Linked DNA regions of Macaca mulatta. The protein of the gene in region 1 binds, or shares a complex with, the protein of each later gene. Links are inferred from orthologs where the notes say so. Each region holds a gene or a part of one and is shown in the gene's direction. Other genes may lie near its edges. The genes, in order: TIMP2 and MMP2.

What was found.
Region 2: the proteins of TIMP2 (region 1) and MMP2 are in contact, whole or in part, in a crystal structure (PDB 1GXD), measured with the Homo sapiens proteins. The link is inferred for Macaca mulatta from reciprocal best matches to the Homo sapiens genes TIMP2 and MMP2. Residues at the interface, in NP_003246.1 of Homo sapiens: Ile162, Pro163, Cys164, Tyr165, Ile166, Pro169, Leu173, Met175, Val178, Thr179, Phe191, Arg196, Asp198, Ser200, Cys201, Ala202, Trp203, Tyr204, Arg205, Ala208, Lys211, Gln212, Glu213, Phe214, Leu215, Asp216, Glu218; in NP_004521.1 of Homo sapiens: Trp574, Lys576, Asn577, Lys579, Tyr581, Phe588, Arg590, Lys595, Asp599, Phe602, Lys604, Ile606, Ala607, Asp608, Ala609, Trp610, Asn611, Ala612, Asp615, Tyr636, Leu638, Leu645, Lys646, Ser647, Val648, Lys649, Phe650, Gly651, Ser652.

What each region holds. Positions count from the first base shown.
Region 1 is NC_133421.1:88,607,110-88,611,602, reverse strand, and holds the start of TIMP2 (metalloproteinase inhibitor 2), read left to right. Parts: upstream 1-1,481; 5' UTR 1,482-1,913; intron 1,914-2,049; exon of another isoform or gene 2,050-2,280; 5' UTR 2,281-2,347; coding exon 2,348-2,477; intron 2,478-4,493. UniProt on the Homo sapiens protein: Complexes with metalloproteinases (such as collagenases) and irreversibly inactivates them by binding to their catalytic zinc cofactor. Known to act on MMP-1, MMP-2, MMP-3, MMP-7, MMP-8, MMP-9, MMP-10, MMP-13, MMP-14, MMP-15, MMP-16 and MMP-19.
Region 2 is NC_133425.1:50,982,007-50,985,809, forward strand, and holds part of MMP2 (72 kDa type IV collagenase), read left to right. Parts: coding exon 1-1; intron 2-1,467; coding exon 1,468-1,603; intron 1,604-3,803.

The sequences.
Region 1 (4,493 bases):
GCCTCAAGCGATCCTCCCACCTTAGTTTCCCAAAGTGTTGGGATTACAGGCGTGAGCCACTGCACCTGGCAAGATTTCTGCTTAACTTTTCCTGGGAGCAATTCCAGCCTGTTTGTGTGCTGGTGCGGATGTCTTCGGGGAGGGCAGTCCAGGACGCAGGTGCGAGGCCTTGGGTTGGAAGTTCCAGTCTCATGCCCCCTGACCCTGGAGCCCAGGCCCGCCTTTCCTCCCAGGTACATCCATATTGGCCCCGCCCCCTTGGTTGTAGGCACCACGGCTGCTCTAAGTATTTATCACCCTAACATGTACCTGATCATTTATGTGTAGAGCTTGTCTAAAAGACCGAGAGCCCCTAAGCTACCTGTTTCTATCATGAACTGACAAATTGAAACACAAGCTCAACCGCATTTTGTTCTCCTTGTAACCAAAAAGAAGGAAAGAAAACAATGAAATGGTTGCAGGCAGCCAGCACATAACAATTTTCTGAATTAACTGTACTTTTAAACGTTAGCTTCAAACATCATTTTGTGAACGACACAACTCTATTTCACGCTAACAAAAACTGAAAAAGTGACTTTGGATTTGTCAGGGTGCTAAAAATAACGGCTCTGCTTATTTAACTTTTCTCAGAGCTGTTACAAAGCATACACAAACAGAAAGAAGCTGTTTTTCCATTCTTTCACTATTTTCCAAAATTTCATACCTCAAGTCAGCACTGCACAGTTTAGCGGACAATTCTGCTCTTTTTTTTTAAACGGAGTCTTGCTCTGTCGCCCAGGCTGGAGTGCAGTGGCGCCATCTCCGCTCACTGCAACCTCCGCCTCTTGGGTTCAAGCGATTCTCCTGCCTCAACCTCCTGAGTAGCTGGGACTACAGGCGTGCACCACCACACCAGGCTAATTTTTGTATTTTTAGTAGAGACGGGGTTTCACTGTCTCTACTAAATGTTGGCCAGGCTGGTCTCAAACTCCTGGCCTCAAGTGATCCTCCCGTCTGGGCCTCCCAAAGTGCAGGGATTACAGGCGCAAGCCACCGTGCCCGCCCTGATTCTTCTTGTGTCATTTTCCTAGGCTTCCATCTCCCTAGCTGGACTGTAAACACCCTGGAATGCTGATCTCAGTGCAGCAGTGTCCACGGAGCCCCTCGGGGCACACACCGGATGTGCAGGGTGGGTGCCCGCAGCCGGGCGCAGGCAGGTTCACAGCCAGGAGGCCCGCCTCACCACCCTACACATGTTCATCCCTTCATATGCCTGGGTCTTTCCTGGAACACAAAACTGTTTTGGGAAAAGTCCTTCGGCTCCCACATTTGTGGGCTAAGAGAGGAAACTGTGAGCGGAGCCCAGCCAATGCCTCTGCTGCGATCCTACTGGCTCCTGGGCGCCTGGGCCCACCCCCGTCTCTTGTTGGCTGGTCAAAAATATGGCCAGTTTATATAAAATCCTGTTTTGTTCACAGTAACCACACCCCCACCCCCCAACTAAACTGGCCAGGCGCACTTGAAATTCTAAGGCCTCCATTTGAAAAAGGGATCCTGTCTGTTTCTCAATTGGCCACCCGCCCACAGGAACGGGGAGGCGGCGATAGGGAACGGCCCCTGCTCCAAAGGACACCCCTTGGCTCGCCTCGAGGCTGAGCTCGAAGGGACCCCGGGGTGGCGGGGGACGGAGCAGCGTAGCACTCCAGAGTCGAGCTGGAGGGGAAAGGGTGGCGGGTGGGTGGCCCGGTGCCCTGGAGGGACGGGGCGCGAGTCCCACGCGCTGAGTCAGGGCCCCCGGGCGCAGAAGGCCACCCAGCGGGGACAGGGGTCGGGGGGCTGGGGGCGTCCGGGGACCCCCGCACGGGTGTGGGCCGCGGGCGCCAGGTGGTGCGGGAAGCCCCCGACGTGCCAGGCCGGGCACAACAAAAGCGCGGGCTGGGGGGAGGCGCGGGCGGAGGGGGAGGAGGGGGCTGCTGGGAGCGCCCGGAGCCTGCATTGGCCGCCAGCCACCGGGAGGAGGAGCAGAAAATCCTCCGAGCGCAATAAAACGGCGGCACGGCCCGAGCCCGCAGCAAACACATCCGTAGAAGGCAGCGCGGCCGCCGGGAGCCGCAGCGCCGCTCGCCCGCCGCCCCCCACCCCGCCGCCCCGCCCGGCGAACTGCGCCCCGCGCCCCTCCCCTCGCGCCCCCGAGACAAAGAGGAGAGAAAGTTTGCGCGGCCGAGAGGGGCAGGTGAGGAGGGTGAGCCGCGCGGGAGGGGCCCGCCTCGGCCCCGGCTCAGCCCCCGCCCGCGCCCCCAGCCCGCCGCCGCGAGCAGCGCCCGGACCCCCGGCGGCGGCCCCCGCCCGCCCAGCCCCCCGGCCCGCCATGGGCGCCGCGGCCCGCACCCTGCGGCTGGCGCTCGGCCTCCTGCTGCTGGCGACGCTGCTTCGCCCGGCCGACGCCTGCAGCTGCTCCCCGGTGCACCCGCAACAGGCGTTTTGCAATGCAGATGTAGGTAAGGAGCGGCGACCCCCGCCCCCGCGCGGGGCCCCACCTCCCCCACGACCCCCGTGGGTTCGCGGACGCCCCGCCCGCCCGCCGCTGGCCGAGGGACCACAGCGCCCGCCTCCTGGTCCCTCGGCGTCTTCTCGAATCTTGCAAGTGGACGCCCAGAGCCGACTTTCTTTCACCCCTCCCTCCTCTCCCTTTCTTTCCCTCTCTTTGCCGAGATGCGTCTCAACCTCAAAATTCCACCGAAATTCCGCCGCAGCTCCAGCCCCAGGAAAGGGAGCCAGTTTGGCTTTTGGCAGGCGGCGCACCCTGGGATGCCAGCGCTGGGGGCAGGGAGCGTGGGGGACACGGCGTGGGGGCGGGGGGCTGGAGGACTGGGGACCCCAGGAAGAAACTTTCGCAGATAAGGTGGGAGTTGGGCTTCTTTGGGCTTGGGGCTGGGTGGGGAAGGGCTTCTCTGCGGGGCTTCTCCCACCAGCCCCATTTGGGGGCTCCCCGATCAAGCCAGGATGAGATGGAAGCCCGCCCTACCCGAGGCAGGTTCCACAGGCCCAGAGGGACAGGTGAGAAAAGCCAGTGGCGTCCCCTGGCCTGGCTCCTTTTTCGTGCCCTGCCCAGGAGGCCCTGCAAACTGGCTGGGCAGGGACCGGGACCCCCGAATGTTCCGCTTTTTCGGGACGTCCACAAAAGCTGGAGACTTTGATGACTGGACCCGGCACGTGGGACTGTGTGGCTGAGATTCCCCAGCAAATACCCATGACCTCAGGACTCCTAGCCCCCAAAAGACAGGCGCCATGGAGGGAGGGAGGAGGGGCCCAGTTATTTGTTCTGATCCATGGAGGACCAGCAGAAATGGGAGGAACCCGCTGGCCCGAAGTTTCCACCCTGGTCCTACACCTCAAGCCTCTGCAGCACTGGTGCTGGTCAGCATGGTTTTCCTGGGACAAGTCTGGCTACACAGCAAGTGGTCTCAGAGCCCCCTGCCCTCCTTCCTCCTTATGTCTGAGTCTCAGTCGAGTGGCCTGTCCAGGGCAGATGGAGCAAGGCGGGGGCCCCTCACCTGCCCAGACTGGAGGTGGGAGTTTCTGTTTCTCCTGCTGTCAGCCACGCCCTTCCCATACCCACCCACGGCTTCTTGCCCCACCCCAGTTAGCCCTGGGAGCTGCCTCCCCAGCCGGGGAAGTTTTCAGTTGCGCCAATCTATTGGGATCGCAGGTCTCAGGTGGCTCAGGCCACATGGGTGGAAGGCGTGGCGTGTGCCTGTGTCACAGTTTCCACAAAACCCAGTTTGGGGGAAATGAGGTCTTTTCTCCAGTTTAGCCTTGGTGCTCAGCAAGATTTGGGGGTGAAGGAGAGGCTCCTTTGATGAGGGAGCCATAATGGGCCTTTCTCTGGGGGTCCATGGGGAATGCAGGCCTGTCCAGGCTCTTGGGCTGACCAGCACGTGGTGGGGCAGGATGTAGCCAAGGCCCAGAAGGAGGCTGCGGCAAGAAGGACTTGGGAGGTGGATTCGTAGGAGTTGGGCCTTGGGACCCTCCTCCCCGCTCCCCCCGCACCCACACACACACTCCTCAGCTGTGTGGGAGAATGTCCAGGCAGCCACTCTGTCCTTGCTTGGCATAAGTTAAGGCGGCCACTAAGCTGGGAGCTGTTTCTGCGTGGGGTGTGGATCCAGGATGGCAGAGGGCGGAGGGCTGCAGTTCGTGCCTCCTGCCTCCTTCATGCTTGGCACAACACTCTCCTTTTCCTGGGTTGCCTGGCATTTGTGTCTAAATCTTTGCATCAACATCATCCTTTAGCTAAAACTTTTCACCCCATCCCAGCTCAGAGGCCCAGTCAGATGCCAGAGGTGCACTGCAGAGCTCAGGGCATTCGCTTCCTGTGGCCGCTGTGACAGACGACCACAAACCGGGATTCTTAAAAGAACAGGAATGGATTCTCTGTAGCTCAGGGGGCCAGAAGTCCGAAAAGGCGTCCGCAGAGCTGGTTCCTTCCGAGGCTGAGAGGGAGAATCTCTTTC
Region 2 (3,803 bases), on another chromosome or scaffold:
GGTAAACCTTGGGGGGTGGGGGATAGGGTGGAGGGAGGTCATGTAGCCTGGGATGGAGGCCCAGGGGTTGGGATCAGCAAGATCTCATCCAGCCAGGAGTGCTGGAGACAAGGGCAGGAAGCGGGAGTGTTGACCTAGTCCTGGGAAGGCAGAGCAGTTCTGCAAGGGGATACTTGGATAACTCTTCCCTATCTGAACAATGCTAATATCCATGTCACTCTTAGCTCTCCATTTCTGGGTTTCTCCCATTTTCTAGGTGAGTAAGGTCACCTGGTGCAAGGTTACACAGGTTTGAGCAACCCAGTGGAGTTTAGAATCCAGAAGAATAGCCAAGTACAGGACAGAATTTTCCGTCATGTGGAATTACCTTAACAGTAGGCGGGTGGAAGCTTCTGGTTTTCATAATAAGCTTTGATTTTAGTATGTAATAGAAACAGAACAACCAGTGCCTTAAGCCAGTGATTTACTTATTGTTGGTGCTTACAGTGAGGCTAGAGTTTAAAAAGTCTGTTCAGTTTTTTTTTTTTAATGAAATATTTAGCCGGCCGGGCGCGGTGGCTCAAGCCTGTAATCCCAGCACTTTGGGAGGCCGAGATGGGCGGATCACGAGGTCAGGAGATTGAGATCATCCTGGCTAACATGGTGAAACCCTGTCTCTACTAAAAAAAAAAAAAAAACAGCCGAGCAAGGTGGCGGGCGCCTGTAGTCCCAGCTACTCAGGAGGCTGAGGCAGGAGAATGGCATAAACCCGGGAGGCGGAGCTTGCAGTGAGCTGAGATCCGGCCACTGCACTCCAGCCTGGGTGACAGAGTGAGACTCCGTCTCAAAAAAAAAAAAAAAAGAAATATTTAATGGTCCTGGTGATATCTGAGCCAGGCCAAAATAGTGAAAATGGTGATGAAGTTTGGGGACCGCTAGACTCAGGAAGAAGCCCAAGGTCTGCTGTGAAGGGTGCTGGGTTCAAGCGTGGCCTCTGCCTCTCACCAGCTACAAGATATTGTGCAAGTCTTTATACCTCTTTGGACTCAGTTTCCTCATCTCTAAAAGAATTGCTTATCATGAAGAGTGCCCCACTCTCAGTGCTGGACACACCAGTGGCCCCCTGACTGCCCTGACTCTTGTGGGTCTAAGAATCTGAGCTTTGGGTTTGAGTCCTTGGGCAAGTCACTCAACTTTTCTGGGCCTCAGTTTCCTCACCTGTGAAATGGTGCAATAATGATACCCCACTCTCAGGGATATAGAGAGGACCGATTTGGGTGATATCAGTAAAAAGCGAATCTAAAGTACAAAAGGCCCCAGGACTCCCAAAGTCCAGGCATCTTCTTGTTATCTTACGGAGCTTACACTAAGGCCAGAAGACAATTTCTTCTGACTCTTAGCAGATTGGGTGGGCACCCCTGGGGGCTCAGCCTGGTGGGGAGAACCTTTGCAGCTGCAGAGAGTCTAAAGTCAGGTGTTCTCCCCCAGGGGCCTCTCCTGACATTGACCTTGGCACCGGCCCCACCCCCACGCTGGGCCCTGTCACTCCTGAAATCTGCAAACAGGACATTGTCTTTGATGGCATCGCTCAGATCCGTGGTGAGATCTTCTTCTTCAAGGACCGGTGAGTGCAGGAGCTTCCTTCTTGTCCTCCTTGTCTCCTGTCCTCTGCTCTTATACTATTATTCTTTTCCCTCACTCTTTGCCGAAGACCCCACCAAGTGCTTCGCAGAATGACCTGTATTAGGCGGTTTCTGGTGTGTATCAAACAACCTCCAGGTTTCAGTAGATTTTTTGCACCCAAGCATTTTGTTTGCTCTCCTATAGTCTGTGGGTCTACTAGTTATCTTGGCTTCCAGCTTCAGTTTGGGTTCAGGTATGCTCTGCCTGTTGTTCTCATGGGATTAGCAGCTACACATGGCAGATGACATGGTGCTAGAGGCCAAATTGAACTACACAAGTGCATTTAAAGCCTCTACTCACATCTTGTCTGAGAATATTCCACTGCCTGAAATAAATCACATGGCAGATCCCAACACCTACCCTAGAGGGTGGTACTGCAAAGTCACATGGAAATGTACATGAATGCATAATCCTAAAATCGAAATGGAGGGAAGAATTGGGAACAATAATTCAGTCTACCACAGGCCTTCTTCTAGAATGGCGTTGCCCTCAAATGGCCAGATTACTCTGTGTATGGGTGGTGAGCGACTGCAGAGTAGAAAGAGGTGGTATTCTACCTGCTATAGGTAAAAATCACCACTCAGTTGACTAAAGGCTGAGGTTTACCCTAATGTCCTAGCTCCCTGGAGAATGGCAGGCAGTATCTAGGACCTCATTAAAGGGTCTGTCCTTCCATTCTTCTATCATCCATCCATCTATCCATACCTGTATCTTTCCATCCATCATCCATCCAGCCAGCCAGCCATCTATTATCCATTATTTATGATCCAGCCATCCATTATTCATTATTCATCCATTTATCCATTCATAGAGCGTAGTAGTTGAGAAAATGGACCCTGAAGCCAGGTTGTCTGGGTTAGAATTCTGTACTTGCTACTTACTGGTTATATAATCATAGCCACGTTAATTAAGTATCTTCTTTGTACCTTGGTTTCCTCATTTATAAAATGTGGCTAATATTCCAACCTATCTCCTAGAGTTGTTGTAAGGATTAGATGAACTTAGCGCTGAGAACAAAAATAATGCCTGACACAGAGTAAGTGTATTCATATTAGCTATTATTATTGACAAATAATTGTTTGACATCTACTGTGCCAAATACTTGGCTAGGCTTTAGTAGCTGGAGGAGGAAGAATGATGTTCTTGGGACAGTGGGGTTGGGGGCTGCTAGATCAGTGTTCTCAAAGACAGGAGCGTGGGCCTCCCATAACAGAACCACCTAGAGTGTGAGGATTAAAAGGTGGGTTTCTGCCCCCAGAGTGTGAGTATTAAAAGGTGAGTTTCTGCCCCAGCTTCAGACCCTCCTGACTGGAATCTCTGGGGATAGGCCCCAGGAATCTGCATCATAGCAGATTCTCCCAGTGATTCTGATGCACATTGAAGTCTGCATCACAAGTACAGTTTGAGAAATAGGCATATAGAGAACTGAATGGCAGGATCAAAGAAAAGTGATCGCAGAGGCATTAGGTGCTTTTGTGGGCACATCCCAGTCAAGGAAGACTTCACAGATGCAGCAGCATTTAAGCAGAGCCTTTAAAGGAGAAGCAATAATCTGATGGGGGTGACAAGTTAGGAGGTTCTTTGAGACAGAGGGACCTGCAGAGCCAAGCCATAGTGATGTGAAAGTTTCTGGATTAACCAGCGAGAATCTGGTGAAGCTAGAAGATGTTCCATAAACTTTCAGGAAGGATTTCCTCTACTCTAGGCACTGGGCCAGATTCTGGGGTGCAGATGCTTTGCCCTTCACAGGGTCTGCTGGCCAATGGGGAAATGGCAAGAATGCAATGAGAGATGAGACTTAGAATGTAGTGAGAAATCAGGTCCCATCAGGCCTCGAATGCCCAAACCAGGGTATGTAACAGCAGATGTCAGCGCTGCTCTGCAGTCCTCATTGTAAGGATCTGGCAATGTCCTTCATCTGGAGCACCTCCCACTAAGAAAGCCCTGACCGCACACACAGATCTCAGATGTGTGGGGCCTAGGAAAGGATGCAGAGCCCAGACCCAGGCTGGAGCCATCCCTGGCCTACCACATCACAGTTTTCTTTCAAAAGGAACTTGATGAATGTTTAATGGGTTTGTTTGATTAACCAGTAAATATTAAACATCAACCACGAATAAAAATTGCTGCTAGACACTGGT